Linked DNA regions of Neurospora crassa OR74A. The protein of the gene in region 6 interacts with the protein of the main gene of each other region in a pairwise test. Links are inferred from orthologs where the notes say so. Each region holds a gene or a part of one and is shown on either strand. Other genes may lie near its edges. The genes, in order: NCU02717, NCU02572, NCU01184, NCU00664, NCU03799, NCU06994 and NCU08036.

Region 1 (4,014 bases), on a different chromosome or scaffold from region 6:
CAACCTTGCAGTATTCGATTGGGTTCGGTAATAGCGACTCGAGTGCAGCAAATCTGGCGGAGAAGTGATCCCTCACAAACTTGTGGACAAGGGCCACCTCACTGTCTATCAGAGTAGACAGTCTGTTGGCGTTGGTCAAGAGGTTGTATTCCGGGTGATCTTCGACATGGCCGACGTCGTTGGCCTGAGCGGGTTGTGCTTGATAGTGTGCGATTTTCTGCAACGTTCGATCCAGACTGTCAGGGCTATTGCTCAAATAAGATGTAAACGCTTTTCCATGTTCAAAGGGAGCACCGCAAACGGGTATAAGGGAACTAACCTCGAGTACTGGCTTCAATGACTTCATAAGAGTCGCAACAGTTCGAACATCTCGCACTCCTCCCAGATGCATCTTCTCAACCTTGGCTTTTGCTTCCTCGGGATCTTCTACAGCATTCGAGTCGTCGGCGCCGACGCCACCCATAGCTTCGTCTTCGTCCTCGCCCTCCTCGTCGCCCATGCCTTCATCTTGATCCTCATCATTGATCGGTACATGTGCGTCGTCCACGCCGGAGCCTCCAGTCGTGTCAACGCCATCGCCTAGAAGACCATCGCCATACTCCTCGCCACCGGCCTCGGAGCCAGAGTCCTCAAAGTCCTGGAGGAGCTCGTCGAGAGTAGACGACATGTTGGCAAAACCCTGTTTCCTGGGCAGAATATTCGGCGACTGTTCGGGTCTCAAGGTGGTTAGATTCAGGAGTAAACGGGACAGTCGCTGATACAGGTACAACAGCTGCCGTGTGCCGAAGAAAGAATGGAAAAGAGTTCGATGTGTTGTCGACTTGTTTTGGTTTTGGGAAGAATGGAGGCAAGAGACCGCGGCGTTGCATCACGGCCTAGCGTACTGTACTGACCTCGTTGCGCCAGTGCTTTGCCTGCCGGTCGTACACAGTGCGGCTTGGTATGTCGCCGATAGCTGCCAGTGCAGTGAGTAGATAGTGTCAAGTAGGCGTAGTTCGCAGCCACACCCAATACAGCGGCCTTCCAGCGGCTCAGCGTCGTCTTATGGGCGAACCTGCTCGCTGAGGTCGGACATGTACTACCTATCAGATGTACAATGACATGATGAGCGAAAAGTGTCCATACCCACTGTGCAGCAAGGTTCAGTAAGTAGGCAGGGGCATCGAGCCACGGTCCATCAATCGCAGCGCGTCCTCAACTGAGTTCAGTGGCTGGCTGCTGTTGCGTCCAGACCCCAAAATCTCATTGAGAAACCGAACTTACAACACCACGCCAACATCTGCAGATCGCCACTTTTTACGCCCATCTTCACAATGGAGTCATCGCGCGGCCCGCCACGGGTGAAGAATAAAGCCCCTGCGCCTGTACAGATCTCGGCCGAGCAGCTGCTGCGCGAGGCCGTCGACCGCCAGGAAGTCAACCTCCAGACCCCGACACAGCGCTTTGCCGACCTCGAGGAGCTCAAGGAATACCAAGGTCGTAAGCGCAAGGAGTTTGAGGACTACGTGCGGCGTAACCGAGTTCGTCTATCGAACTGGCTCCAGTATGCTCAATGGGAGCTAGAACAGAAGGAGTTTGCGCGGGCTCGCTCTGTGTTCGAGCGCGCTCTGGATGTACATCCCAACAATACTCGTATGTTTGTCTAAACTCAAAGTGTCCATGTGCTGTTAAATGTGGCGCACATCAGTCGCTAACGATATGTCCAACAGAACTCTGGATCCGATACGTTCAAGCAGAGATCAAGAACCGTAACATCAACCATGCACGCAATCTGTTGGACCGCGCTGTCACGCGGCTGCCCAGAGTCACATCTCTCTGGTACCAGTATCTCTACGTTATGGAGATGCTCGGCGACATTCCGGGTACCAGACAAGTCTTCGACCGGTGGATGAAGTGGCAGCCAGATGAGCAGGCGTGGAGTGCTTATATCCGTCTAGAGAAACGTTACGGCGAGTTCGACAGGGCAAGGGAGATCTTCAGGGCCTTTACCGCCGTCCATCCGGAACCGAGGACGTGGCTCAAGTGGGCCAAGTTTGAAGAGGAATACGGGACCAGCGACACGGTCCGCGAGGTCTTCCAGACAGCTATCCAGACAATTGCCGAAACGCTAGGCGACGATGCCGTTGACGAGAGGATATTCATCGCCTTCGCCCGGTACGAGGCCCGTCTGCGTGAGTATGAGCGGGCCCGTGCCATCTACAAGTTTGGCCTCGACAACTTGCCTCGGTCCAAGTCGATGACGCTACATGCCCACTACACCACATTTGAAAAGCAGTTTGGCGACAAGGAGGGTGTGGAGGACGTCATTCTTACAAAGAGGAGGAGATTGTACGAGGAGCAAGTCAAGGAGAACGCAAAGAACTACGACGTCTGGTTTGACTTTGCGCGACTCGAGGAGAGCGGAGGAGATGTCGATCGGACCAGAGAAGTCTACGAGCGAGCCATTGCTCAAGTACCGCCAACCCAAGAGAAGCGACACTGGAGGCGGTACATTTTCCTCTTCCTCTTTTACGCGATATGGGAGGAGAGGGAAACAAAGGATATCGGGCGAGCCCGTCAGATCTACGACACCTGTCTGAACCTGATCCCCCACAAGAAGTTCACTTTTGCCAAAGTGTGGGTTGCCAAGGCGCACTTCGAGATCCGACAGGGCCAACTAACGACGGCCCGCAAAACCCTCGGCCGCGCCATCGGCATGTGCCCCAAAGACAAGATCTTCAAGGAGTACATCCTCCTCGAGCAGAAGCTCTACGAGTTCGAGCGCTGCCGCACCCTCTACGAAAAGCATGTCATGTACAACCCGGCCAACTGCCAAACATGGATCAAGTGGGCCGAGCTGGAACGTGGTCTCGACGATCTCGAGCGCACCCGCGCCATCTTCGAGCTCGCTGTCTCGCAGCCGATCCTGGACATGCCCGAGGTGGTATGGAAGGCGTACATCGATTTCGAGGAAGAAGAGGGCGAGTACGAGCGGACGCGTGCCCTGTACGAGCGCCTGCTCGAGAAGGCCGATCACCCCAAGGTCTGGATCAGTTACGCCCAGTTCGAGATCAACATACCCGACGAGGCCGAGGAGGAGGAAGAAACGGAGGAGGAGGTGGAAGAGAAGCCTGTTAGCGAAGAGGCCAAGGCACGTGCTCGCAAGATCTTTGAGAGGGCGCACAAGAGCATGAAGGAGCGCGAGCTCAAGGCCGAGCGTGTGTCGCTGCTCAACGCGTGGTTGGCGTTTGAGAAGACGCATGGGTCGGCGGAGGATATCGAAAAGATTCAGAAACAAATGCCTAGGAAGACCAAGAAGAAGCGTAAGCTGGAGGATGATACTTGGGAGGAATATGTCGATTATATCTTCCCGGCTGATGATCAGCAGACCAAGAACTTGTCGAGTCTGTTGGCCATGGCGAATGCTTGGAAACAGCAGGCCGCGGGGGGTGCTGGTGGCGCTGCTGTCGATGAAGCGGCTCAGGGAGGGAGCAGCTAGTGTAGGAGATGCAATGTTATATTAGGCCGCAGACCAAGAAGCCCATAAACTTTTCCCCCCGAATACAGTAACCGATATGGTGCGGATCTTTACTCCCACACATATATACCTCTTGAGTTGTTCTCGGTATTAAAGATCACATAAAAAGCCCAAACCACGATAGAAACCCCATACTTTGATGAAAGGTGTGAATTATATTTTAACCAACTGCTTGGTAGGTTGTTCCATATCCCGTACGATTAAATACGGCTTTGTACATGTTGGGATACTCTGAGGATATCAGGTCTTCCTCGGCCGTCGAATCTCATGGTGGTCTTGACGTCGATTTCCAGCACATTGTATTCGTGGGTCCAAAAAGTATCGTTTATCTCCATGAAAGAAACTGACTACCGGCCTTCTCTTTATACATATATCGTGAGAATTCGCAAAGAGGCATACATTGTTTATCATTGTCATTCTCTCAACCTCTCGGAATTGATCTGTTTCTTCATCATCCTCATAAAACCCAACCTGTTGACCATCATTATCATCATCAT
Region 2 (4,068 bases), on a different chromosome or scaffold from region 6:
CTTCATGCCGGAAGCGCACACCTTGTTGACGGTGGTGGCAACCACCTTGTTCGAGAGACCGGCCTTCAGGGCGCACTGGCGGGCAGGAGCCTGACCGACACTGAGGATAAAGACATGTGGTTAGTATTGTGCTGTTCCAGGGTCGAGTCGCGGCGGCGCGTTCGCTGCGCACAAAGGAATCTATGGCTACGTACCCAGCAGAGAGGACATTGCCAAAGAAGACCTCCTCAACATCCTCGGCCTTGATTTCGGGAACGCGGTCAACGGCAGCTAGAAACAGGAGTGGTTAGCTAAGGACACGTTTCATCTAATACTCCTCTCGAAACCGGTTCTAACCGACGTACACTTGATGGCATGGGCACCGAGCTGAACAGCAGAGAGGCTGGAAAGCTGACTACAAGTTCAGAGATATCAGCAACGCGAAGTTCACGCTTCGTCCCTCCTGTATCGTTCTGACAACAGCTCCAGGTCAGCCGACATGGCGGGGTAGCTTACCCAAGGAAGGACCCCACAGGGGTTCTGGCGGCAGAAACGATGTAGACGGAGGGAAGACCGGTAGACATGATGGCTAGTTTGGAAGCTTGGAGTTGAGGAAAAAGACGGGTTTTGGAATTAAAGATTATGGAATGAAAGCGGGTGAAGCCAGGTAAGAACAGTGAAGATGTGGGAAGCGTTGTTCTAATAAAGCTCAGCCCGTGACTACCAGGATTGTCTTTTGGACGCGGGACAGGATAGGGGAAATTGTTGAGACGACGGGGACCTTGTAGCTGTCACCTCAGGTCTTCTCACCGCCTTCAACGCGAGGTCTTATCAGTCTTTATCCGGAAAAGTGCCGATCTTCAGGAATAAGAGAAATGGACCCTCGCAGACTTTGACAAAGTGGTGTGAGGTGTCCGATGCCGGCGGCAACTGGCTCTCTTCCCATGATACCTCTTGAACCCGTCTTTATAGACTAGGATGTGGCAGCTTGGGCAAGGGGCAGTTGTGGGGGTTTATGGAGTGTTAGAACCCTGAGGGGCACCGCGATGGCCTGGATGGTTTCTGACGTGGTCCGCTGCGGGAATCTGCTTGCATGTCTGCCGTGGACCCGTGGTGCCATCATTGCGAGCAAAGATTTTATCAGATGATCTGATAATGTTGAGCAGTAGATCTGCGCACCAGCCACTTCCTGTGGTCGATGCCGAAGCTAGCGCCACATTGCTAAAACACTAGTCTCTACCATTTAAATGAAGTCTGCCATTTTTTCATTAGTTGCAAGGGACCTCCAAGTTTAGCGCTACACGGTTGAAGCTTGGTCCACTGCGCGCCGCGGCGAGAGTTCACTGGTTGACATCAGCCTTGCGCAAAGACAGCGACGAAAATCCAGCAAACGTTCCAGTCAAGATCTCTGAACTCCCATTGCTCAACAACGCGACAGCTACCCTTTTCGAGACAAAGCGGCTTTGGAGTAACGCTCAATTATCATCGACGATACACGATGGACGACGATTTGTACGACGAGTTCGGAAACTTCATGTACGTATCATGCTATCTCCATGACGTCGTCACGTTGCAGAAGGATGGTCTGTCTGGGCTGTGTTTTGGTCAAGACTCCATCGTCTTTTTGAGGCTAATGTCCAATCTTGCTTACTTTATGATGCTCTCTCCTTCGGCGGTGCTAACCATTGATTCGTAGCGGAGATGCTGAAGCCTCCGAGGAAGAGTCTGAACATGGTGTCGACGCTGGAAACTACGTTTACGATGATTACCCAGAGGAAGCCCCAGAAGCTCCGGCTCAGGAGATGATGGAAGTTGACGATGAAGGCCCCTCCAACGCCGTTGTTCTCCACGAAGACAAGCAGTACTACCCGACAGCCGCACAGGTCTATGGCGAGGGCGTCGAAATTTTGGTTCAAGAGGAGGATGCGCAACCGTTAACACAGCCGATCATCGCCCCTGTCGAGCAAAAAAAGTTCAGCATCGAAGAAGCAGACCTACCTCCCGTATACTTTGACCGCACGTTCATGGCCGATCTCATGAACTTCCCCGAACAAATCCGTAACGTGGCTTTTGCTGGACATCTACACCACGGAAAGACAGCATTCATGGATATGTTGGTGTTAGAGACGCACGACATTGCGGACAAACTTGAGAAGCGAACGGGAAAGAAGCGCGACGAGCAGCTGCGGTACACAGACATTCACATCCTCGAGCGGGAACGTGGGTTATCCATCAAGGCTTCGCCCATGAGCCTGGTCCTCCAAGGAACAAAAGGAAAATCACATCTCTTCAACATGATCGATACGCCAGGTCATGTGGACTTTGTTGACGAAGTTGCGGCTTCGCTCAGGCTTGTGGATGGTGTCTGTTTGGTGGTCGATGTCGTGGAGGGGGTTCAGGTCAACACAGAACAGATCATCAAGCACGCCGTTTTGGAGAACATCCCACTCACCCTCATTGTCAACAAGATGGACCGGTTAATTCTCGAGCTCAAGTTGCCGCCAAACGATGCCTATTACAAACTTAAGCATGTGATCGAAGAAGTCAACACTGTCATTGAGAACACAATTCCAGGCCGAGGTGAGGAGAGGAGGTTAAGTCCAGAGAGAGGAAATGTTCTGTTTGCCTGCACGTCCATGGGCTGGTGTTTCACTCTTCAGTCATTCGCCAAGATGTACTCGGACACGTATGGTGGTGTCAACTCGGAAGAGTTTGCGAGGCGCCTCTGGGGAGACATCTACTTTAACCCGCAAAAGCGAAGTTTCACAAGGAAACCCATCGAAGAAGGAGCTAAGAGGTCCTTTGTCAACTTCATCATGGAGCCGATTTACAAGTTGTACTCGCATACGATTAGCGAAAGTCCGGAAGAACTGAAGGGTACCTTGAAAAAGTTGGGCATTCAGCTCAAGCCATCGCAGTACAAGACTGACCCCAAGGTCTTGTTGAAATTGGTTTGCGAGCAGTTCTTTGGGCCATCTACCGGGTTCGTAGACATGGTCTGTCAGCATATCCCATCGCCGGCTGAGGCTGCAAAGCAAAAGCTCGAACAGTACTACACAGGCCCTCTGGACAGCAAGGTTGCTGAGTCTATGCTGAACTGCGACCAAAATGGCCCGCTTGTGTTGTATGTGTCCAAGCTGTTCAGTGCTCCCGATGCGAAGAGCTTCTATTCGTTTGGCCGTGTGATGAGCGGTATTGCGCGCCCTGGCACAGAGGTCCGCGTGCTTGGCGAGGGTTATTCTATCGACGACGAAGAAGATATGGCCATGGGGAGGATATCCGATGTCTTCATTGCCGAAACACGATACAACATCCCAACCGACGGCGTGCCCGCTGGTAACTGGGTTCTGTTGGGCGGCGTGGACAACTCGATCGTGAAGACTGCCACTATTGTGGAGAAGAAATTTGAGGATGATGAGGACGCCTACATCTTCAAACCTATTTCGCACTTCACCCAGTCCGTCGTTAAGGTTGCTGTCGAGCCCATCAATCCGTCTGAACTACCCAAGATGCTTGACGGCATCAGGAAAATCAACAAGAGCTACCCCCTCATTACCACCAAGGTAGAGGAATCGGGAGAGCATATTATTGTTGGTACTGGCGAGCTATACATGGACTGCGTGTTGCATGACCTACGTCGTCTATATGCCGATATGGAGATCAGGGTATCGGATCCTGTGGTTCGATTCTGCGAGACGGTACAGGACATGTCCGCAACCAAATGCTACGCCATTACCCCCAATAAGAAGAACACCATTACAATGGTGGCGGAGCCATTGGAGGATGGTATCGCGCAGGACATTGAGTCCGGAGCGGTCAGGATTCGGGATCCTGTACGAAAGATCGCCAAATTTTTCGAGGAGAAGTATGGCTGGGATCTCCTTGCAGCCAGGAGTATCTGGGCTTTCGGTCCAGACGAGATGGGACCCAACATCTTGCAGGATGACACCTTACCATCAGAGGTCAGTTGCGAGTTCCTTTCCCATGCTCGGGACACCAGTTGCCGTTCTACCCAGGTTTTTGCGGTGATCGTCGAAACCGGGCCGTCTCTTACTTCCGGGCTACTAACACGATGAACAGGTTGACAAG
Region 3 (4,051 bases), on a different chromosome or scaffold from region 6:
CTAGGCAAAGGGGGATTATATCGTTAGCGTCGGTAGAAAAGTAACATGGGAAGGGAAAAGGGGGCGTACGGTGGCTCCCGGTTGAGTCTGATGCCTACAGCCTCCAACTCGGCCTCGAGGAGGGCCCTCTGCTCAGCACGTTTTGTGGCGTCCAAAACCATAAGAATCAGATCGCTTGTCTTGGCGGCGGAAATGACCTGTCTTCCTCTACCCTTGCCCTCGGAGGCACCCTCGATGATACCGGGCAAATCGAGCAGCTGGATTTCGGCACCGCCATATTCGAGCACACCGGGAATGGCTGTCAGGGTCGTGAAAGCGTATGAGGCGACTTCGGACTTGGTCTTGGTGACCTTGGATAAGAACGTGGATTTACCGACTGACGGGAAGCCGACCAGTGCTATACGAGCATCACCACTTTTGCTGACGTCGAAACCGGCACCTGGACCGCCGCCCGAGCCCGGCCCTGGCTCGAGTAGTTGAGCGCGGAGACGAGCGAGCTTTCTGTGGATGGGCGTTAGTGAGAGTCAATATCAAGGATCGCTTGGTGTAGACTCACTTACCCCTTCAAGAGACCCAGATGATATTCTTAGTTTGGTTTCACCAGGTCAGCACATGAATGATGTTGGAGACAGGTGATAAAGAGCGTACCAGTTGCCTTGTTCTCTGTTAAAACTTATGTTAGCGTTCATGGCTTTCAGTCAATTTGTTTGCATAGGGACGTGGTCTTACTCTGGGTTTTCCTCATCTCCTCCTCAATCCTTGTATCTTATGGTCAGTTTGACTAACTCCATCAAGTCGAACACGCAGGCACCGTGGAAGCGTCAATGGTGCAGCTTACTCCTTGATCTTTTCCGTAATGTTCACCATCTTGGCGGTTTAGGACAGGTCTGTCCTTGGTATCGCTTTTACAAAAGAAACAAAGACTGAAGCGATATAACTCGAGGTAAACACCAGGCTGGCAAGCTGATGAGAAGTGAATCGGCCCTGAAAGTGAAATTCAAGGTTGATGAATTACACGCTGTAAGGAACAGTAATGTCAAACATATCAGTGCGCACCCCACGTTCCCAAGTGGCAGAATTTCCCGGACAGGAGGGGCAGCAGAAGTGGGTTTTGTCCTTCACCGCTTTTGGAAGACCCATAAAATCTGCGGGAGCGGAGTGGGTCTCTGTCAGCCAAGGTCGGCCCAGGCTTGGAAATTCTCCAAAAGTCCAACACCCCTGGAATCTCGGAAAAGAGTCTGTGCTCTGCGAGTTTGGCCTAGACAACAAATCGTAAACCAAATTCGGCGTCATTGTCTTTTTCCACTTGTCATCGCATTTGCAGCATACGTATCCGCTATCCTCTTTCTACCCTGGCAACAAGACGCGCAACCAAAGGCCAACTGAGTACCGATACTTGCTTTCGAACCAAATCACATCTGGAATCCCAATCCGACATACCATGGCCGAAGTCGATACCAGGCAAGAGGAGCCTGTCTCCGCCGTAATTGAACAAGCGCAAGCCGGAGAAGACGCGACAGACGCGCAGACACAGGAGCTTGCTCTCACCACAACGAACACCGAAGTCGCCGCCCCAACAGAGAAGAAGGTCAAAAAGATCATCCGGCGCAAGAAGAGACCGGCGCGACCTCAAATCGACCCGGCGCTAGTCAAATCCGAGCCGCCCCCGCAGACAGGAACAACGTTCAACATCTGGTACAATAAGTGGTCCGGTGGCGATCGCGAAGACAAATACCTATCCCAAACACACGCAAAGGGAAGATGTAATATCGCCTTGGACACTGGATACACGCGCGCCGACGGAGTAGCAGGATCGTTCTTTTGTCTGTTTTTTGCGAGGGGCGTCTGTCCCAAGGGCCAGGATTGCGAGTACCTCCATCGACTACCTACAATCCACGACATTTTCAACCCCAATGTGGACTGTTTTGGGCGCGACAAATTCAGCGACTATCGTGACGACATGGGCGGTGTGGGCAGCTTTAGCAGGCAAAACCGGACAATTTATATTGGTAGAATCCACGTGACGGAGGACATTGAGGAGATCGTGGCCCGTCACTTTGCCGAATGGGGCCAAATAGAAAGAATACGTGTGCTCAACACGAGAGGTGTGGCGTTCGTCACTTATTCAAATGAGGTAAGCCACGGTTGCTAGCATTTTGCTTGGATGTTGAACTCGGTACTAATTCGCTGGTTACAGGCAAACGCCCAATTCGCCAAGGAAGCAATGGCCCACCAGTCACTAGACCATAACGAGATTCTCAACGTTCGCTGGGCGACAGCGGATCCCAACCCCATGGCGCAGAAACGCGAGGCAAGACGCATCGAGGAGCAAGCCGCCGAAGCCATTCGACGGGCGCTGCCTGCCGCGTATGTTGCCGAGATCGAGGGCAAAGACCCAGAGGCGCGGAAACGGAGGAAGATCGAGAGCAGTTACGGCCTGGAAGGATACGAGGCGCCAGACGAGGTACACTTTGCCCGGGGAAAGAATGCGGTCAACCCAAGGGGTCGCGAAGGGTACGAGCTGGAGGATCAGCAACTGCTCATGCTCGAAGCTGGGGAGGCTGGAGGATGGGGACAGGAGCAGGAGGAAGAGGCATATCCTCAGGAACAACAACAGAGTTCCGGTGGGATCTTGTCTGGTAGCACGCTTGCTGCGCTACAGTCTGCTAGAGTTGCAGTTGCGGCAAAACCGAAAGCACCTGTCTCGGCGGGACCGCTGGTGGCTTATGGTAGTGACGATGACAGCGACTGAGACATAACTGGGAAGAAGTTATTTTGGTAATGATGATAAGAGAATGAGGCAGCAGGAGCCAGTGCATAGATGCCATTTTTGGCCTAGGAAATAATAAGATACCAAGTTAAGAGCGTTTGAACATGTGCCATACAGATTTGTGGCCATGCTTTGACTCCTCCGCCCCCTTTTCCAAGTAAACAAAAACCATTTCCCAATCACAATTCGCCCATGTACCCCTTTTCACCCTCAACTCCCGGTGCCGTCCCCCCAGTCCTCCCCTCCCCAACTCAACTGTTGAAAATCCTCGAATAAAGAACCTCATGCCTACCAATCCACAAATCCATAACCGGCACGCTCTGCCCCGCCTCCTCCACGCCTCTCTCCCACTCCCTCTTCATCAACGCCCCAATCATCTCCTGCACCTGCCTGCTCGCCAGCGTCTTCTGCGCCTGGTAGGGGCCAAACATGCCCGCCCTCACCGCCGCGCTCACCAGCGCCTTCACGTGGCTAAGTAAATAAACGTAAGCTGTCTGCTCGAGCGAGAGCCCGACGAGGGCGCAGATGGCGCCGAAGAGGGGCGGGAGGTGGGCGGAGACGGGTGGAGGGTCGTTCCACCCGCTACTTCTTCCTCCGCCCGATGTCGATGGATTGCTGCTGCTGCTGGTGGTGGTGGTGGTGGTGGAAGACGGTGGTGGCGCCCCTGCAGATCTAAGCAAAGCCGAGAAAGGCTTGAGAATTGCAGCCGCCGCTTCGGCAGAAGTAGACGAAGGCGGTAGCGACGAGGACAGAGAGCGGTCCCAGATGGAAAGCAGCGCTCGGCCCTGGGCGACCGATGCTCGACGGCCGACGGTGCAGACGATGGTTGCGTCGAGGGTGTCGTCTAGCAGGGCGAGCTGGGCTGGGTCGCGGTGGGCGGCGAGGACGTAGGGGAGCGTGGTGGACGCGTAGGAGGAGAGGGAGAGGGGGAGGAAAGAGGTGAAGGAGGGTGGTGGAAGTTTGGTTTTGGGTGGTTTGTTAGTGACAATTGATGTAGAATGCGAAGGGGAAGGAGAAGATTTGTTGTGGGCGAGGTAGGATTCGAGACCGCTGCTGAAGGCGAAGGATCCGAGAGGCAGCGCGGAGTCGGAAAGGAGGAGGAGGAAGTGGTTGGCTGTGGAGTGGAGGATGGTTTGGGACGGGGAGGGGACTGGAGGGTTTGTGTTAGTGAGGGTTTTGTGTTATGATGAGAGTCTTGATCGATGGAGTCGAGTACAAGAAAAGAAAGGGAAGGGTAGAACAAGGTGCAACTCACCTGGTATCACCCCAAGATTGGACTCT
Region 4 (4,021 bases), on a different chromosome or scaffold from region 6:
ACTTTCCCAGCCAGGCATTGCGGCGGCAATGGTAGTGCTTGGTGCGCGGTGCGCGTCCCAAGTACTCCAAGTTGTGGAAAGGACAGCCACACTAACTAACACTTGTTCTTCATCCAGACACCTGCAAAGATGATTCTGCCGCTCTGGACCAAGGCTGACTGATAACCTCGACAGCTAGCAGAACGTATCTCACATGATGCCCGTCTTGGAAAACCAAAACGGGACATCCAGCCTTGCGGCAACCAAGCCCCGATCCTTCCATAGGGTAAGGGGTTCGTAACTTCTGGTTAAGAACCACTCCATGGGTAGGATTCGGCGATTTATAAGGCTGGCTGTGAGACGTTCATGCTGGGTAGACGGTCGAGGCTACAGCCGGACCAGGTCCAGAGCAGAGGACCAGGTGTACACATGTCCGGATGGGGGTGCATGTGAACTGATGAGGAAAGGAGGAGGGGAAATGTAAAAGTATGGTGGAAGTAGTGCAGAAAGTTGTGGGGTACGAGTTGTTGAAGAGGCCTGCTCAGATATCCGTTCTTGTTGGGCTTTCATCTTCTGCCAGATGGTTCGTCGACTCCTCGAAGAGGAAAGATGCCCCTATCGGTGGAATCAAGACACCCTGAATTGTGATGGTCTTCTTCACTGCAGGGCCCCAGGAGTAGATGAAAGAAGTGGCAATGGAACTAGAAAGTGGTAAGTGAGTTCGTGATAGGTAGCTGAAGGTATTGGCTTGAGGAGGGGTGGTTGTGATTCGAAGAGGGTTCGTTGCCAGGCGCTGATAGATTGAGGCTGCAAAAATGAAAGGTCAAAAGCATGAAAGAAAAAATGGAAGTATAGAAAAGGATGGTGATAGAGTGTTGGCTCGCTTCATAGGTAGACCTCGGTTCGCATGCTCATTCAAGAAGAGCGATGTGCATCCTCGGGCATCGCCAGACGTGAAAGGAGCTACTCAGCTGGAAGCCGAACCAAACCGAGCCTCTCAAGTTTGCAGTGACTTCCAGAGCCGCGCGATACTGCGGCAATAAAATAGAATCCCGCGTTCTGAGGATGGCTGTAGATTTTCGTCGTTCGAATGGTAAAGTTCAAGGTGTAGAGGTAATCAATCTGGTGACTTGTTGGATGCAGGTTGAGATTCAGGACGGACGCGTTCGAATTGCGGCGCCCCGTAATCATCTGCAGTGGAGCTCGGGCCACAATCACAGAAACGCCACACCACCAAACAAACGAGGCATCACAGCCTTGCAGCCTTCTGTCTTGTACCAGTACATCATCTTCGAATTTCCGGCAATACGTAAAATCCACGGCTGGCCACAGTTAGACTTTCCACTGCGCCTTCAATCCCCAGCCGATCCTACTTGCCTCGTCTCAGGAGCAAGCTTAGGTTATCAATCACAATACCCTTCCACGCCTAATTTCCCCCGCGCAACCCATAATCACCATCCAAAATGGTATGTTCCTGATTAATCCCACTGTTCGACTCTTCTATCGGTCTGTACAATCCGTGTACTAACAATGTCCCAACCCAGGCACGCAACTCCGAAAAAGCCCAGTCGATGCTCTTCCGCTTTCGCGAAGCGCAAGCCGCCGACCTGGGCATCATCGACGCCGGGCGCACGCGCCGCCCGCGCTCCATCACCGAGCAAGACAGCATTCCCGCATGCGAAAAGTGGCGAGGCCAAGTCCTCAAGGAAATCTCCCGCAAGGTGTCCCGCATCCAAGACCCAGCCCTATCCGACTACCAGATCCGCGACCTCAACGATGAGATCAACAAGCTCATGAGAGAAAAACACATGTGGGAGGTGCAGATCCGCAACCTGGGCGGACCGAACTACATGCGCTCGGGAGGGAAAGTGTACGACGAAGCCGGGCGGGAGATCCCTGGTGGAGGGAGGGGGTACAAGTACTTTGGCAGGGCGAGAGAGTTACCCGGTGTGAAGGAGCTGTTTGAGGCGGCGGCGAGGGCGAAGCAGGATGATGAGAAACCATTGGAGACGAGAGATGATTTAAGGAAACAAGTGGATGCGGCGTATTACGGGTATGCGCCGGACGAGGAGGACGAGAAGCTGTTGGCGTATGAGGCGGCAAGGGAGAGGCAGGCGTTTGAGAACCTGGCGAAGGCGGCGGCGGGATTGGAGCCGCCTCCCGGATGGGAACCGTTGCCGGAGTGGGAGCTTCCTACGATGGACGAGGTTGCGCAGGAGCTTATTGACAGGAGGAGGCGGAGGCTGTTGGATCAGTTGTAGCCTGGCGATGACTGAAATGATTTGTAATTGGGTCTGTGGGAAGAGGAGAAGGGGGCACATGTCGGTTGCGCGGGCATGGTGATGGTTCGTTTTGTAGCATTTACACGGATACGGCGCGGCGTTCAAGGCGCAGAGTAATGGGATACATGATACTTTGGCGGGTTCGACAACCAGGTTCAGCTCAAGTGCTGGGTTTATATTCGTTTTGCGCACAGTACTCGCTATGTTACCATTGTTATTTACAGTCTGAAATCATTATCCCGTTCATAATTCATATTTGATCCCTCAATCCAGCCAGGTCATCAAGAAATAGACGCCAATGTAACACATCCCGTACCGCATGACCGAGCCCCGTCTCAGGCCGCCGTGCCTTCAGTTTCCCGTGCCAGCGAGATTATATGAACAACATGGCTGTTGTGCCTAACAGTTAGCAGGCCAGTTCTCCTTAATCCAGCCCGCCATCAATTCCGTAAAGGTCCCATTGACATATCTCTTGGCATCATCATTAGTGTAGTCGCCTCCGGAGATCTTCAGCGCAACCATGACCCATGGTTGAATGAAATCAAAGAACACGAGATCAACCTTTTCAGGCTTCTCGCCCTCCTCCTTGGGCGAGAACCCAACTTCGGCCTGGATGCAGTTAGGCACGACATAGAAGTTAATGGCAGAGTGGATAGCATCATCGCCATCGTCACCAATATCATCCTTTGTCGTATAGCCTTCGATCAAAACGGGCTCCTTCTTAGAGGCGCCATCACCCGACAGGGGCTTTTGCCCGTCCACAAGACCCTCAGTCGCGAAGGAAGGCATTGGCTTCTCATGAATAATGTCCTGTGTGATGGCAAACTGCTCCGGGATGGCCATAAATCGAGCATCCATAGGAGCATGCTCCTCCATGATCCGCCCAGCGTTGTTGAGTAAGCCGATAACTTTACTGGCAACCTCGTAAGGGACGTCGGGGATGTAGTTGAGGACGCTGAGGAAGGGCGAGATGATATACGTTGTATCTCTGGTAAATTTGCCCTTGAAGACATCGAAGCGGATGGCACCGGTGTTCATGATAACCAGACGAGGGACATCTTTCCTGTCGTCGTTGATGGCGATCTCTGGAAGAACCTCCTTCTCGAGCCACGTGTAGATGCTGTCCTCGGAGGGATAGGGCGCCCTCGTCATCCACAGGTTCTTTGGTGCACAGCCGAACGTGTAGTCCAGATCGAGATCCTTGCGGGCCTGGGCGATCATTTGTGATACATTTCGGCCGTGGTCTGTAGGAAATGTGGACTTGTTCAACCCGGTGTGATAGTAGAGGCCCAGTAGGTTGTTGTCGATGTACCTACGGTGGAACGAGAATTCCGCGGCCTCAGTCGAAGGCGGCTCGTCGTCATTGACAGCAGCAGCGACGACATCTTTGGTTGTCCTCTTCAGGTCACCGTCCACCGACATCCAGCCGATCGTTTCAAAGTAACGGCCGCTGGCGATAGCGAACGATCTGGAGTCATACGCCGTCGCGTCACGCACGTGCACATGGCCGCCGAAGAACAGGATGGGCGTTAATCGATTCTGCTTACGAATGGCTGTAAAGATCTCCTTGAACTCGGGCATCTTCACGCCGACGTGACCAATCACCACAAACACATCGGGGTTCTCCCGGATGGCGTCCTGGAACCATTGCTCCTTGATGGTCTCCCTCACGGGCTGTACCACTGTGTTATTGGCATTTCCGGTAAAGTCGAAAAGAAAACCCATGGCGACAATAGTCAGCTTCTGGTTCTTGGTCTGGA
Region 5 (4,101 bases), on a different chromosome or scaffold from region 6:
GACTGTCATGCGCCGGGACCGATGTGCTAACCTTGGCTGCGCAGGTACAATCAGGAGGCTCGTTCGATATCGACTATGAAGTGACCGGCCCCGATGGCAATGTGATTATGGATGGGCAGAAGGAACGCCAGGGCGACTTTGTCTTCACCGGCAAGCAGATCGGTGACTACAAGTTCTGCTTCAACAACGAGATGAGCACCTTCGCTGAGAAGTTCGTCGACTTCGAGCTTGCGGTCAGTACACCAGGCGCCCCCTTTTACTCCACCACCTACCACTTATACTGACTGTGAGGGTATAGGTCGAAGATGAGGCCCGCGTTACCATCCCTTCAAAGCAGGGTAGCTCCCCCGAACAGACCTCGGCTCTCGAGGAGTCTCTCTTCAAGATCTCGATGCAGCTTTCTACCGTCACCCGCAACCAAAAGTACTTCCGCACGCGCGAGAACCGCAACTTCAGCACAGTCAGGAGCACCGAGAAGCGAATTGTCAACTTCAGTTTGATTCAGATCTTGCTGGTCATTGCGATGGGTGCTCTACAGGTCTTTATCGTTAGATTCTTCTTCCAGGTAAGCTTCACATTTTGTCCAACTTTCCAGGCTGGCGTCAGGATGCTAATAGGATGGACGACACAGGGCGCACGGAAGGGTTATGTATAAATGTGTACTACTTTTATACTCCCAAGGAGTGAGATTGATTTGGTCTTGGCCGGGCGTAAGGCACAAAAACAGCACAGGTCTTGCTTGCATGGGGTGTATATCATATAATGATGGCTTACGAGTTGGCGACGGGTGGTCATGTCAACAACATGCCCCTGTGTCTTGGTTTTCGATCTACATGTATGACTGATGGATTTTTTTGGCGGCCAGTTATCACTAAAACATAATAGAAGTGCAAGCGTGCAATGACAATGGCACTGTGAATGTTCTCAGCAGGTCAAGTGTACAAGACTTGAGCGTACAGACCTGAGCTATTGCGAGCCAGGGACATGTCGTGAACTGGGCAATTTTACGGGAAACTTGGATCTGAACTTCATGCCAACATGACACTACCAGCGGTATACAAAAGAAAAGAGAGCCCGCTTTTGGTGTTTTGATGCCCCCTGAAAGCAGCAGCAAGTTAGACTACATTGTGTTCCTGTACATGTAGACTATACAAGTTTCCCTTCTGATAAGGAGACCGATAAGGATGCCCATGTCTCGTCTACTGTGCCGTAGCCCGTAGGTATGCCAGCGCCGCGGCTGCAGTGCTGGCTACAGGTACCTACGTATCTCCACTGGCTCTCCTCTGGCGCCACACTGGACCTTGAAGCGTCGCGCTTGAGCCACCTACCTACCATTGCTTGGAACTTCTTTTCATTGCAGGCAGTGATGTCGAAGTAAACGTCAACTGCCAAACCCCATCGCAACCGATTTTGCGACAATCAAGCATCACTTCAACAACCACTCATTGATCGACAATTATGGCTTCGATAGCAGCAGGCCTATCTCAGGCTCTTCCGAAGCCAAAATACAGCGGCGAATACGAAGAATCAAAGTCACAGCAACGCGGTCCCAGAATTGTCGGCGCCGGCCAAATTGACGAAACTCAAGTTGTGCTGAGGGTCAGTAACCGCACCCTCCACTATCCGCTTGCTTGCTTGCTTGCTTTCGAAAACCGGCTAATGCTAACATTCCGCTCTCCCAGAGAACCGGACCACCACCGTATGGAAATCGACAAGGTTGGCGACCGCGTGCACCAGAGGATTTCGGCGATGGCGGTGCCTTTCCAGAGATTCCCGTTGCTCAGTATCCCTGGGGCAAGGACGCCTCGAACAAGTCAAACGCGCTAGTTGTTCAGGTTGATGGAGAGGGCAAGGTCGACTACACAGCGATCGCACGACAGGGTCACAGCAGCGACCGGGTCATTCACGCGTCATTCAAGGATCTGATTCCATTGCGACAGAGGGCCGAAGCGGGCGATCTTGACTTGTCACGACCGAGCAAAGAGGAGGTGGAAGCAACGGCGGAGAGGACCAAGAATGCACTGGCTGCGCTGGTCAGCGGCGCCGTGGCGTCCCAGAAGCCCAAAAACATCAACATCAATACGAAGCGAGAGCCGACGTTTGTGCGCTACACGCCATCAGCGCAGATGGGAGACAACTCCAAGAAGCAAGACCGTATCATGAAGATTGTGGAGCGACAGAGAGGTATGGCATTCAAGACTTGAGCATTAGCTGTGGGCGGTAAACTAACAGTTGGCAGATCCCATGGAGCCACCCAAGTTCAAGCACAAGAAGATTCCCAGAGGACCCCCGACTCCTCCTCCTCCAGTTATGCACTCGCCTCCGAGGAAGTTGACGGCCGAGGATCAAGAAGCATGGAGAATCCGTAAGTCATCTATCTGTCTCACAAGGAGAGTGGTCTACTAACAAGCGATAGCACCTCCTATTTCCAACTGGAAGAACCCCAAGGGTTTCACTGTCCCGCTCGACAAGAGATTGGCCGCCGACGGCCGCGGTCTGCAAGACGTGCAAATCAACGACAAGTTCGCTCAGTTCTCCGAAGCCCTCTTCATGGCCGATAGACACGCTAGAGAGGAAGTCCGACAGAGAGCCATGATGCAGCAGAGGCTGGCAGAGAAGGAGAAGGCACAAAAGGAGGAACATCTGCGCCAACTTGCGCAGCAAGCCAGGGCGGAGCGCGCGGCTGGTGGACGGAGCAGGAGGTCACGATCCCGCTCTTACAGCGGTTCCGAATCTCGCTCCGAGAGCGATGACGACTCTGAGCGGGAGAGAAGGGAAGCGCGCAAGGAGAAACTTCGCGAGGAGGAGCGTAAACTCAGACAGTCGCGCATGGGTGCGGAGAGGAGAGCCCAGGTCATGGCCCGCGAGATGGACAGAGATATCTCGGAGAAGATCGCCCTCGGTCTCGCCAAGCCCACGCAGTCCAAGGAGGGCATGTATGACTCCCGCTTGTTCAACCAGTCTAGCGGTTTCGACAGCGGCTTCAACGAGGACAACCCGTACGACAAGCCTTTGTTTGCCGCCCAGGAAGCTATCAGCAGCATTTACAGGCCCCGTGCCAACGCGGAGGATTTCGACGACGAGGCGGCGGGCGAGAGCGAGATGGCGAGGATTTCGAAGTCGAACAGGTTCGGTGAGGCTCTGGGTCGTGGCACGTTCAAGGGTACGGCTGAGGCGGAGGCGAGGGAAGGGCCGGTGCAGTTCGAGAAGGACACGGGGGCGGACCCCTTCAACGTGGACAAGTTCCTCAACGAAGTGGAGAAGGACGGTGCTTCCTCGTCGAACAAACGCGGCTATGGGTTGAATGATGGAGAGAGGGACTCGAAACGAACGAGGATCGATGACGATGAGGACTAAGTCAGTGGCTCTAGGGTAATGAGAAGAGCCCATTGTGTTCTGTGATGTCCAATATTGGCTCGCGCTTTGTCGTACTGCATGTCAAGGAGTTTTGTTCACATGGGCGATTCAGACATAATGCAAGCGAAAAAGGATAAAGTACTTCGCCTAACCCCCGATCGAAGCCGAGATGATACATGTTTGAACTTGCTCTTTACATATTCCCGTCTTCACATGAAAACTTTACAATGCCATAACATGCTCAGCAACGAACAAAGAATGGAGATCTCTTCATCTATCCGTCCACGAAACCGAGTCCCCGAAATGCTAGGGGAGCGTAGATCTATCCTCGTCCAATGCCTATATGTTATCGTATTTGTACACGAAGGGAAAAAAGCATCTATGCCACCCCCGTTTTAACGCCGTTTCCCATATCCCAAGTCTTATGTCCATGCATACACACGCACGCACGCCCAGTCTGCCTGTTACCTGCTTTTCCAGGTCTCATCGCCGAAGACCTATCCGGTCATTCCCCTGGCTTCTTCAACACCAAACCCAGTAGTAGTACATCAAGCCAAACCAGACCAGACCGGACCGGACCGGACCAGGCAGATCAGACCAAAACGTTCGTCACGAACAGAATCTAACCCTCCTCCTTTTCTTACCTCTTCCACCTCTCCCACCTCTCCTCCTACTGTTCGTTCTCACCCCTCCTTCCTTAGTCCTCCTCACTAGGCATCCTCATCCAAGCATCAATAGCCGCAC
Region 6 (4,152 bases):
GGTGGTGACATGACGACCCTGTCGGTCAAAGTATACGTGGGAGGCAGAGTCCTCGAAGGCCATGTGGGCAGCGTACGGCTCGGTCTCGGTCTGGCGATAGTAGAACATGGAAGGAAACGTTGGGTCGGCTATACAGTGAGTGTAATGGAACGCTCGCTTGTTGAAGACACTGTAGGAAAAAGGCAAATCAGAATATGCTCCGCATGAATGGAGAATGGCGAAGGAGCAAATATAGATAAGACATACTGTTCGGTTGCATCAAAGAATTCGATGGTCTCGCCCTCGGGCCCTTGAACCTCATGATGGCTGGTGAAGACGGGACCGCGCGCGGGCTCGAAATCAGTAAGTTTGGGCGGAGCGAGCTTATAGCGCGCGGGGAGCAATTCGTTGATCAAGGGCTCTTTGTGTTGCTGCTTCGGGTCTGGAGTTGCTCTAGAACTATCGGAACCGCCTGCTGCTGCCTTGGCCTCCCTCTTCTTGAAGGAGTCCTTCTTTGTTCTCTTTTCGCGGTTTAGAACGGCTGCTTGCTGGGTGTCTTCGGGTGCCTGTATTTGGACTCTTGGAGCGGCCTTGTTATCTGGGTTTAGGGGTGATGGAACTGCTGGACTGTGGTCGTCTTCGAGCGTGCGCTTCTGAGGGATCGTCGTGGCAGCTCCGGAAGGTGTTTGCTCCCTTCGGGGAGAGCCTACGTCGCTGGCCATATGTAGCTCGGCAGACGTCGTGCTAGCAGTAACGTTGACAAATATTTAACTAAGTGATTAGTTTTGCTTTCGCAAGCTGTCCTTGTCCTGAAGTCGACTTGTGTTTGGACTCGAACGGCGAGCACTCCAAGTCCAAAGTAGGTACCGACGGGAGCTCTTCTGATCGACGACAGCTTATGGATGCTAAGAATAATCTGAGAATTGCCCGATGGTGATCCTACGGGTAAATGCTTTGGTACTCGGAGAAGACGCGTACTTTTGGAGAGCGCAATTGGGTTAAAGAGTCCAGTTTCGGAGCGATTTGATGTTCTTTCTGGGGATTTCTGTAAAGAGTTGAGAAATGTAAGAGGAAAGAAAGACATGTGAACCAGAAATGGTGGATGGAAGCTTCATCCACTCGACCAACAGCAGCAGCGTGTCGCGACAAAAGGGCGGGGCATCCTTCTGTTAGTGGTTAACGGCAGGCAGGGGTCCCGGAGCTTGGCTCGCTTGTTAGTTACCACATGCATGGGACACAAAAATGCTAACAGCGCGGGAACCTGTTGCCTGCCGCAAAAAGGTCTTGAGGTTGGCTAGCGCTTGACAGTTGATACTGGGAAAGACGCCAAGGCAGTTGCGTCGCGGGTGATTCCATTGTTCGCCTTGACGCCAGCGCTTTGAATTTCTGGATTTCTTCCCCATCAACACAACAACATTTCAACACTTTCAATTCCAATTCCAAGACAACCCCAACCCCGAGTGTCCTCCCACCTACCGGAACGACTCCCGCATCACTACAACGCCCGACGAGTATCCATAACGGCCGAGCGACAAGATGCCCGTCGTCAAGGGAGGTGTGTGGACCAACATCGAGGATGAAATCCTCAAGGCGTCGGTCAGCAAGTACGGCCTGAACCAGTGGGCCCGCGTCTCGTCGCTGCTGGCCCGCAAGACGCCCAAGCAGTGCAAGGCAAGATGGAACGAATGGCTGGATCCCAGCATCAAGAAGATCGAATGGAGCAAGGAGGAGGATGAGAAGCTGCTGCACCTCGCCAAGCTGATGCCGACCCAATGGCGTACCATTGCCCCCATCGTTGGAAGAACCGCAAACCAGTGCCTGGAAAGATACCAAAGACTTCTCGACGAAGCTGAGCAGAGGGAGGCGTCCGCTCTTGGGCTGACGGGCCCTGATGGAGGCGAAGCTCACGCGCCCAGCGCCGACGATGTTCGCAAACTACGTCCTGGCGAGGTCGACCCCGATCCGGAGACGAAACCCGCCCGTCCCGACACCATCGATCTCGATGAAGATGAGAAAGAAATGTTGAGCGAGGCTCGCGCGCGTCTGGCCAACACACAGGGTAAAAAGGCCAAGCGAAAGGCCCGTGAGCGACAGCAGGAGGAGTCACGCCGACTGGCCGCTCTCCAGAAGCGTCGCGAGTTGAAGACAGCCGGTATCAACATCAAGGTTACGACAAAGAAGCAGGGCCAGATGGACTACAATGCCGATATTCCATTCGAAAAGAAGCCTGTTCCCGGATTCTATGACACCACCGAGGAGATGTCTCGCAACGAGTACCAGCGCGCCCATTTCGACCCCAAGAAGCAGCAGGTTGGGAACAAGCGCAAGGGTGAAGAGGACGAGAGAGACGGCAAGAGGAGAAAGGGCGACAAGGACCCATCTGTGCAAGCCGCCCTCAAGGCCGGTCAACTGCAGAAGATGCGCGAGGCAGAACAGAGCAGCAAGCGGAGGGCTTTGGTCCTGCCAGCACCTCAGGTCGGCGAAGGCGAGTTGGAGGAAATTGTGAAGATGGGCATGATTGGCGAACGGGCAAATATGCTGGCTCGCGAAAGCGACAACGACGCAACTCGTGGCCTGATCAACAACTACTCGACACTCAACACCAATGCGCCAATCCGAACACCGATGGCCCCCGCTCAGGAAGACCACATCGCAAACGAGATCCGCAACATCCGAGCACTAACAGAGACGCAATCCTCGCTGCTCGGTGGAGAGAACACACCTCTACACCAGGGGGTGGGCTCTACCGGCTTCGAGTCGGTTGCGCCGCGGAAGCAGGTCATGTCAACCCCTAACCCCTTAGCCACCCCTTTGCGGGCAGCTGGAGCTGGTCCTGGCGCCACGCCCCTCCGCGTCGGCCAAACACCACTGCGCACTCCCCGTGATACATTTGCTCTCAATGATGCCGGTGACGAAATGTCCATGGTGGGCGGCACACCCCGAGATGTTAAGATGCGCGAGATGTCTATTCGGCACCAGCTCAAGCAAGGCCTCGCGTCTCTTCCCAAGCCCAAAGAGACCGAGTGGGAGCTCGAGCTGCCGGACGATCAGCAAGAGCCCAAGACCGCTGAGCAGCTGGAGGAGGATGCTGCTGAACGTGATCGACGAGAAAGGGAGATCAGGGAGGCGCGAGAGCTGTTGGAGCGCAAGAGACGTACCCAGGTCATGCAGCGGGATCTGCCTCGGCCTGTCCAAGTCGATTATCAGTCACTCTTGAAGGAAGCCTCGCAGGCCGAGGACCCTGTCAAGGTTCTCATCGCTCGTGAAGCGGCCTTGCTCGTAGCTCATGATGCCACCAAGTATCCTCTACCGGGAGCTCAGCCAACTGGCCGGGCACTGGAGATCCAGAAAATCGACGACGCCGCGTTGCAAGAGGCCAAGCTTCAGGTTCTGATGGAAATCAAGGATAAACCAAAGCCGGAAGAAGTTCAAGCGGTGTGGGAAAAGAGCAACAGCAGCTCCCTTTTGCTTGGGCTGGGATGCTATGAGGACGATGAAGAAGAAGAGCAGATTTCCACTATGCAAATTGCGCTTGAGGTATGTACAACTAACCCCTTTTCTGCCTCCTGCCTTCCGAAGGCTTACTGGCTAACCTAACCTGCAGGAGGTCATTGACCAAATCGTCGCCTCGGCAGAGAAGGGCAACAAGCTCGAGAAGAAGCTCAACCTGCATCTTGGCGGTTACAAGAATCGGGCTGAAATGCTGCGGAAGAAGATCAGTGAGGCTCACGAGGCGTTGGAGAAGGCGAACAACGCTCTGGGCGCTTTCAAGGTCCTCCAGTCCTCGGAGCAGGCCGCTATTCGGAACCGGCTGGCGGCGCTGCGTGAGGAGGTGGGCTTTGTGAGCACGAGGGAGAGAGAGGCGCAGGAGTTATACAGGAGGACGAGGGAAGAGCTGGATGCTTTGACGCTCAACGGGCCGAAGGCCAATGGGTTCCGCTGAATGATGTGTTGGAAGAGTGTGGTCAGGTTGTGAATAATTGAGTGTTGGTTAAACTCTGGCATGGCATGGTATGTCTGGCAACTGTCTGTGGAATGGCCACTGACGTCGAGCAGCTCAAAATAAGAAGCATTGAACATTATTATGTACTTGGAGGACGTCTCTCGATGCACCGTGTGAATATGTATAGTACGATGACCAACCTCCCTCTCAATATCAGTGAATTCTTCTCC
Region 7 (4,068 bases), about 840 kb from region 6:
CAACTGCGCCATCGCATCCGCAACCTCGGCGTCCATCTCTCCTCCTCCGTTTCCTGCTGCCTCCTCCTCCATCCTCTTCTGCTGACTCCTCGCCAGCGCCTGCGAAGCAATAAAGTTGACATCCGTGTTGTACTGCGCCTGCACGCTTCTCTTGATGCGGAGCATCTCCTTGTAAGTGTCCTCGTTGCCGTGTTGCACCTCGAACTGATCCCACTTGGTCCAGAAGCCCGGGTTGGTGCGCGGGTCGCAAAACTGCGAGGCGTGACCGTAGATGGCACGGGCGCGGTCGATCTCGCCCAGCCGCTTCTCCATGTCGGCGAACTTGAGGCACATGTCGCGGGCCTCGGCGTCGGGTAAGGCCGCAATGGCGCGCTCGTAGATGGGCCGCGTCGAGGGCAGACCGAAGTTGGATGCCGACTTGGTGATGTAGAAGTTGAACATGTCGGCCCGGTCCTCGTCGGCGACGGCGCGCGTGGCCCGCTCGTAGATGCGCATGGCGTGGCGCGCGAGGCCGCGCTCCTCCTCGAGGTTGCCATACATGAGATAGATGACCTTGGCGAATTTGGGTGGGCAATCCTCGACGGCTTGCTCAAAGAGATCGCGGAGGCGCTCGATACTGATCTTGCGGTCGACGGCTTTGGTGAGGTACAGGTTCCAGAGTTCGAAGGCCACGGGGTAGCTGAAGAGATCGAGACCGCGCTCGTAGATCTTAAACGACTCTTCAAAGTACTTGTGCTCCTCCAGCAGGTTGGCGTAGTTGACTACTGTTTGAGGAGTGGCGATGCGAAGCTCGAATATCCTCTCGTACACCTTGCGGGTCTCGTCCAACGAGCTGACACTTTCCACAAGGTCGACATAGAAACTCCACAACTTCCAGCTCTTGTGAACCCTTTGTTGTGGTGATAGGGTTTCGTCGAAATAGTCCACCGTGGATCTCTTGGGCGCCTGTACTGCCTTTGCCATGACTTTCATGGCCTCGTCGAAGCACTCGTTTCGAAGCTCCATCTCTGCCCACTCAATCCACATGTCTGCCAACTCTGCCACGGACTTGTAAGGAACCTTGACAGCCTTCTCCATGATTCTTCGGGCACTTGAAAGGTCTCCTCCGGCCTCGTAGAATTTGGCGTAATTGGTCCATAGCTGGTGGAGCGCACCCACTGCCTTCTTTGGTTGGATGGCTTCGATAGCATCAAGGTAAGTCTTGACAACTTCCTCCTTGTTGTCGCCCCATAGAGCCACACGCTTCTCCCATTCCGTAACATTGTTCGGGTTCTGCCTCAGTAGGACATCATTCAAGAGGAAGGGCCGGCGGTCCATTAGATGCTCGAACCGCATCATTCGGATATCCAAATCGAAATCAGCCACCTCGTCCACCTCTCCCTTCTCAGCCCGGGTCGATGCCATCTCCATCAGAGCGCTGATGATGGACTCCTCAAACTCCGTGTACGAATCGAAGACGAGGGTGAAGTCTCGAACGGTCATGACGGTTGTGATACCCTCCTCGAAAACGTCTCGTGCGCGTTCAAAGCTGCCTCGTCGAATCCAATAGGTCGCCAAGCCGCACCACAGCTTACCCCTCTGGTCGGCAAACCGCTCGATACCACTGCGGATGATCCGTTCGACATCGATTCCCGTCTCATGCCCCGTTTCCACCGCCGTCGCATGCTCGACCAACAAATCTACCATCTCGCTCCACAGTTCGTAGTGTCCCTTGCTGTTCTTGCTCGTAAACCGCGGGTTGTTGAGAATTTCGATGTATTTGTGCACGGCTTCCGTATATAGCCCCACTGCCACCAACAACTCGATGAAGTCCTCGGCATCCTCTGGGTGAACCTGCATGTACCTGCGCCAGATCTTGACCGCCGTCTCGCCTTCGGCCGAGTTGGCGAAGGGTCGATACAGAGCCCATATCCTATTGTGTTGCGTGATGGGGAGAGCGCGAAGGGCCCGATCGAAGGTGCGACGTGTGTGTGTCACGAGCGGCTGCTGCATCAGAAACTTGAGGTACATCTCCCATATCCTAGGCATCTTGTTGAGGAGAATGAGGGCCCGCTCAAAGAGGCTGTTGACCTTTTGGTACTCCGAGGCAAAGATGGCGGCATTGAGCTTCGAAACGTGCTTCGTCCTAAACCGGAGGTACTGGCGACCAAGTCAGTTGGCATGTTGGACTTTGGGGAAAGTTTCCAGTACTTACCATCTTCCAAAGCTTATAGGATCGAGGAAGTTGCACACAGGCGCGCTCCATGATATATGCCTGCTCCTGGACCGTCCCTTTCTGAAGCTTGTACTCGATATAGGCAAGCCATGGCTTCGTGCTGCCGGGGTTACGGACGATGTCTTGTTCGTAAGGAAAGTCCTCCTCGCTCTACCGGTACACAGGTCAGATCGTCAGTTTGTCTTTCTGTAGCAGAGACGACCGGACAAGAAGGGGAGCAACACATACGACCAAAGAGAGGTCTGGGCGACGGTCGGAGACGCGTGAAAGGATAGACATGGCGAAGGGGTGGTCCGCGTTGGACTGCAGAAAGAAGACCGGGAGTGGCGTCACTGGAGGAAGGAGTAAAATCGATGTTCAAGGATCAAGAGATCCCTAGAGGCATTCCTGCCGTTCTCCCACGATTTTGGGCCAGCCTCTCAACGAGATGCGAAGAATGGGGGGGACGACGACGGCGTTTCGTTTTCGCTGGCTGTTGTCGCTGTATTTTGTCCGTGATACTTTTTTTCCTGGGAGCCCGGCACGTCTCGAAGTTCAACCTTGTTCAGAAGTGGAAGTGGAAGTTCGCGAAAGCTCAGACCACCGTAGCCTTCCAGGGGCATTTACGGAGTTAGAGCGATCATTTGGCAGATGTCCCGCTAAACAAGAGCCAATTTCAGTGGGGTTAATTGCTGATAACCTCCAAGATCTTGGCAGCAGGATCCGCAGCAGGTGCCAGCCGCATCCCCGGGACGAAGGCCTCCAGCTGCTGCTCTGGGTGGTGGTGGTCCTGGATCCAGTTGTTACGTAGGGCGGACTTGCAGTGGGCGGCGGCCGTCTCAACCTCACATCCAAGCTCCAACCTAACATCGAGCTCCACCAACCACGGCCGGGCCGTCCCTCCTCCAAGTCGATATCGAACCTAGAGTACCTATCATCTGTCGTTGTCGCATGGAATAGCATCACGACTCCTCGAACCATCATTTACTGCCCCCAGGACCTACCGTCGCCTTAGTCTTATACCCTACCTCGAGTATACCTTGGCCATTGCCGGATCGCAAACATGTCTGGAGCTGCGGTATGAGCCTATCCTAGCTGCTCCCCCGCAATTACTACAACCGGGTCCATGGCGTTGACTGACAATGAGTGGTGGTGATAGGATCGCGAGGCCGTCTTCCCCACACGGCAGTCCTTGGGTATTATGAAGGCCAAACTCAAGGGCGCCGAGACGGGTCACAGCTTGCTCAAGAGAAAAAGTGAAGCTCTCACCAAGTTCGTTGTTCCCCTCCCGGCCCATGTCCATCCATACCTTTACACAGAGCTTGATACTGACATATTGATTTCACTCAACAGGCGTTTCAGAGGTACTAGCCACTCTCGCACACACCAGATATCCGCGAAATGTAGACACTCTAACACACCTGTCTCCTCACAGAGATTACCCGCCGAATTGACGAAGCCAAGCGCAAGATGGGCCGCGTCATGCAGATCGCTTCGCTCTCCCTCGCCGAAGTCACCTACGCCGTCGGCGGCAACATTGGATACCAGATCCAAGAGTCGGCCAAGTCGGCGCGATTCCGCATCCGGGCCAAGCAGGAGAACGTCTCGGGTGTGCTACTTCCCGCCTTCGAAGCCTACCAGGCCGAGGGCAACGACGACTTCGCCATGACAGGTCTGGGTAAGGGTGGTCAGCAGGTACAGCGGTGTCGTGAGACGTACGCCAGAGCGGTGGAGGCCTTGGTAGAGCTGGCTAGTCTGCAGACGGCGTTCGTTATCCTTGATGAGGTCATCAAGGTCGTCAACCGGAGAGTCAATGCGATGTAAGGCGAACCAAACCTGTCTTCCCTGCAAGATAGAATGGGGGACACTAACAC

What was found.
Region 1: the proteins of NCU06994 (region 6) and NCU02717 interact in binary tests that used the Schizosaccharomyces pombe proteins (3 or more experiments, as listed by UniProt). The link is inferred for Neurospora crassa OR74A from reciprocal best matches to the Schizosaccharomyces pombe genes cdc5 and cwf4.
Region 2: the proteins of NCU06994 (region 6) and NCU02572 interact in binary tests that used the Schizosaccharomyces pombe proteins (3 or more experiments, as listed by UniProt). The link is inferred for Neurospora crassa OR74A from reciprocal best matches to the Schizosaccharomyces pombe genes cdc5 and cwf10.
Region 3: the proteins of NCU06994 (region 6) and NCU01184 interact in binary tests that used the Schizosaccharomyces pombe proteins (3 or more experiments, as listed by UniProt). The link is inferred for Neurospora crassa OR74A from reciprocal best matches to the Schizosaccharomyces pombe genes cdc5 and cwf2.
Region 4: the proteins of NCU06994 (region 6) and NCU00664 interact in binary tests that used the Schizosaccharomyces pombe proteins (3 or more experiments, as listed by UniProt). The link is inferred for Neurospora crassa OR74A from reciprocal best matches to the Schizosaccharomyces pombe genes cdc5 and cwf12.
Region 5: the proteins of NCU06994 (region 6) and NCU03799 interact in binary tests that used the Schizosaccharomyces pombe proteins (3 or more experiments, as listed by UniProt). The link is inferred for Neurospora crassa OR74A from reciprocal best matches to the Schizosaccharomyces pombe genes cdc5 and prp45.
Region 7: the proteins of NCU06994 (region 6) and NCU08036 interact in binary tests that used the Schizosaccharomyces pombe proteins (3 or more experiments, as listed by UniProt). The link is inferred for Neurospora crassa OR74A from reciprocal best matches to the Schizosaccharomyces pombe genes cdc5 and cwf3.

What each region holds. Positions count from the first base shown.
Region 1 is NC_026501.1:3,300,054-3,304,067, forward strand, and holds NCU02717 (pre-mRNA-splicing factor clf-1), read left to right. Parts: upstream 1-1,214; 5' UTR 1,215-1,313; coding exon 1,314-1,632; intron 1,633-1,709; coding exon 1,710-3,478; 3' UTR 3,479-3,682; downstream 3,683-4,014. Other genes in the region: NCU02716 (pre-mRNA splicing factor), read right to left, coding at 1-217, 320-667. UniProt on the Schizosaccharomyces pombe protein: Involved in pre-mRNA splicing and cell cycle progression. Required for the spliceosome assembly and initiation of the DNA replication.
Region 2 is NC_026501.1:2,767,260-2,771,327, forward strand, and holds the start of NCU02572 (U5 small nuclear ribonucleoprotein component), read left to right. Parts: upstream 1-1,268; 5' UTR 1,269-1,477; coding exon 1,478-1,515; intron 1,516-1,675; coding exon 1,676-3,941; intron 3,942-4,059; coding exon 4,060-4,068. Other genes in the region: NCU02571 (acetyl-CoA acetyltransferase), read right to left, coding at 1-100, 195-270, 345-394, 496-563. UniProt on the Schizosaccharomyces pombe protein: Component of the U5 snRNP complex required for pre-mRNA splicing. Binds GTP.
Region 3 is NC_026505.1:3,161,409-3,165,459, forward strand, and holds NCU01184 (pre-mRNA splicing factor cwc2), read left to right. Parts: upstream 1-1,251; 5' UTR 1,252-1,441; coding exon 1,442-2,134; intron 2,135-2,197; coding exon 2,198-2,752; 3' UTR 2,753-3,021; downstream 3,022-4,051. Other genes in the region: NCU01183 (GTP-binding protein 1), read right to left, coding at 70-501, 561-585, 649-663, 730-758, 839-867; NCU01185 (urease accessory protein UreF), read right to left, coding at 3,022-3,920, 4,026-4,051. UniProt on the Schizosaccharomyces pombe protein: Involved in the first step of pre-mRNA splicing. Required for cell growth and cell cycle control. Plays a role in the levels of the U1, U4, U5 and U6 snRNAs and the maintenance of the U4/U6 snRNA complex.
Region 4 is NC_026501.1:7,640,706-7,644,726, reverse strand, and holds the start of NCU00664 (pre-mRNA-splicing factor isy-1), read left to right. Parts: upstream 1-1,221; 5' UTR 1,222-1,442; coding exon 1,443-1,445; intron 1,446-1,523; coding exon 1,524-2,240; 3' UTR 2,241-2,660; coding exon of another isoform or gene 2,661-4,021. Other genes in the region: NCU00665 (Ser/Thr protein phosphatase), read right to left, coding at 2,661-4,021.
Region 5 is NC_026505.1:2,453,753-2,457,853, reverse strand, and holds NCU03799 (pre-mRNA splicing factor prp45), read left to right. Parts: upstream 1-1,344; 5' UTR 1,345-1,458; coding exon 1,459-1,599; intron 1,600-1,682; coding exon 1,683-2,184; intron 2,185-2,239; coding exon 2,240-2,365; intron 2,366-2,416; coding exon 2,417-3,357; 3' UTR 3,358-3,601; downstream 3,602-4,101. Other genes in the region: NCU03800 (endosomal cargo receptor), read left to right, coding at 45-233, 299-565, 632-655; tim22 (mitochondrial import inner membrane translocase subunit tim-22), read right to left, coding at 4,055-4,101. UniProt on the Schizosaccharomyces pombe protein: Involved in pre-mRNA splicing.
Region 6 is NC_026504.1:4,815,494-4,819,645, forward strand, and holds the start of NCU06994 (pre-mRNA-splicing factor cef-1), read left to right. Parts: upstream 1-1,352; 5' UTR 1,353-1,515; coding exon 1,516-3,516; intron 3,517-3,583; coding exon 3,584-3,922; 3' UTR 3,923-4,152. Other genes in the region: NCU06993 (Ash2-trithorax family protein), read right to left, coding at 1-169, 247-701. UniProt on the Schizosaccharomyces pombe protein: Involved in mRNA splicing and cell cycle control.
Region 7 is NC_026504.1:3,977,313-3,981,380, reverse strand, and holds the start of NCU08036 (pre-mRNA-splicing factor syf-1), read right to left. Parts: upstream 2,801-4,068; 5' UTR 2,495-2,800; coding exon 2,444-2,494; intron 2,366-2,443; coding exon 2,195-2,365; intron 2,140-2,194; coding exon 1-2,139. Other genes in the region: vma-8 (vacuolar ATPase subunit D), read left to right, coding at 3,258-3,272, 3,354-3,466, 3,548-3,558, 3,630-4,014. UniProt on the Schizosaccharomyces pombe protein: Involved in pre-mRNA splicing and cell cycle progression.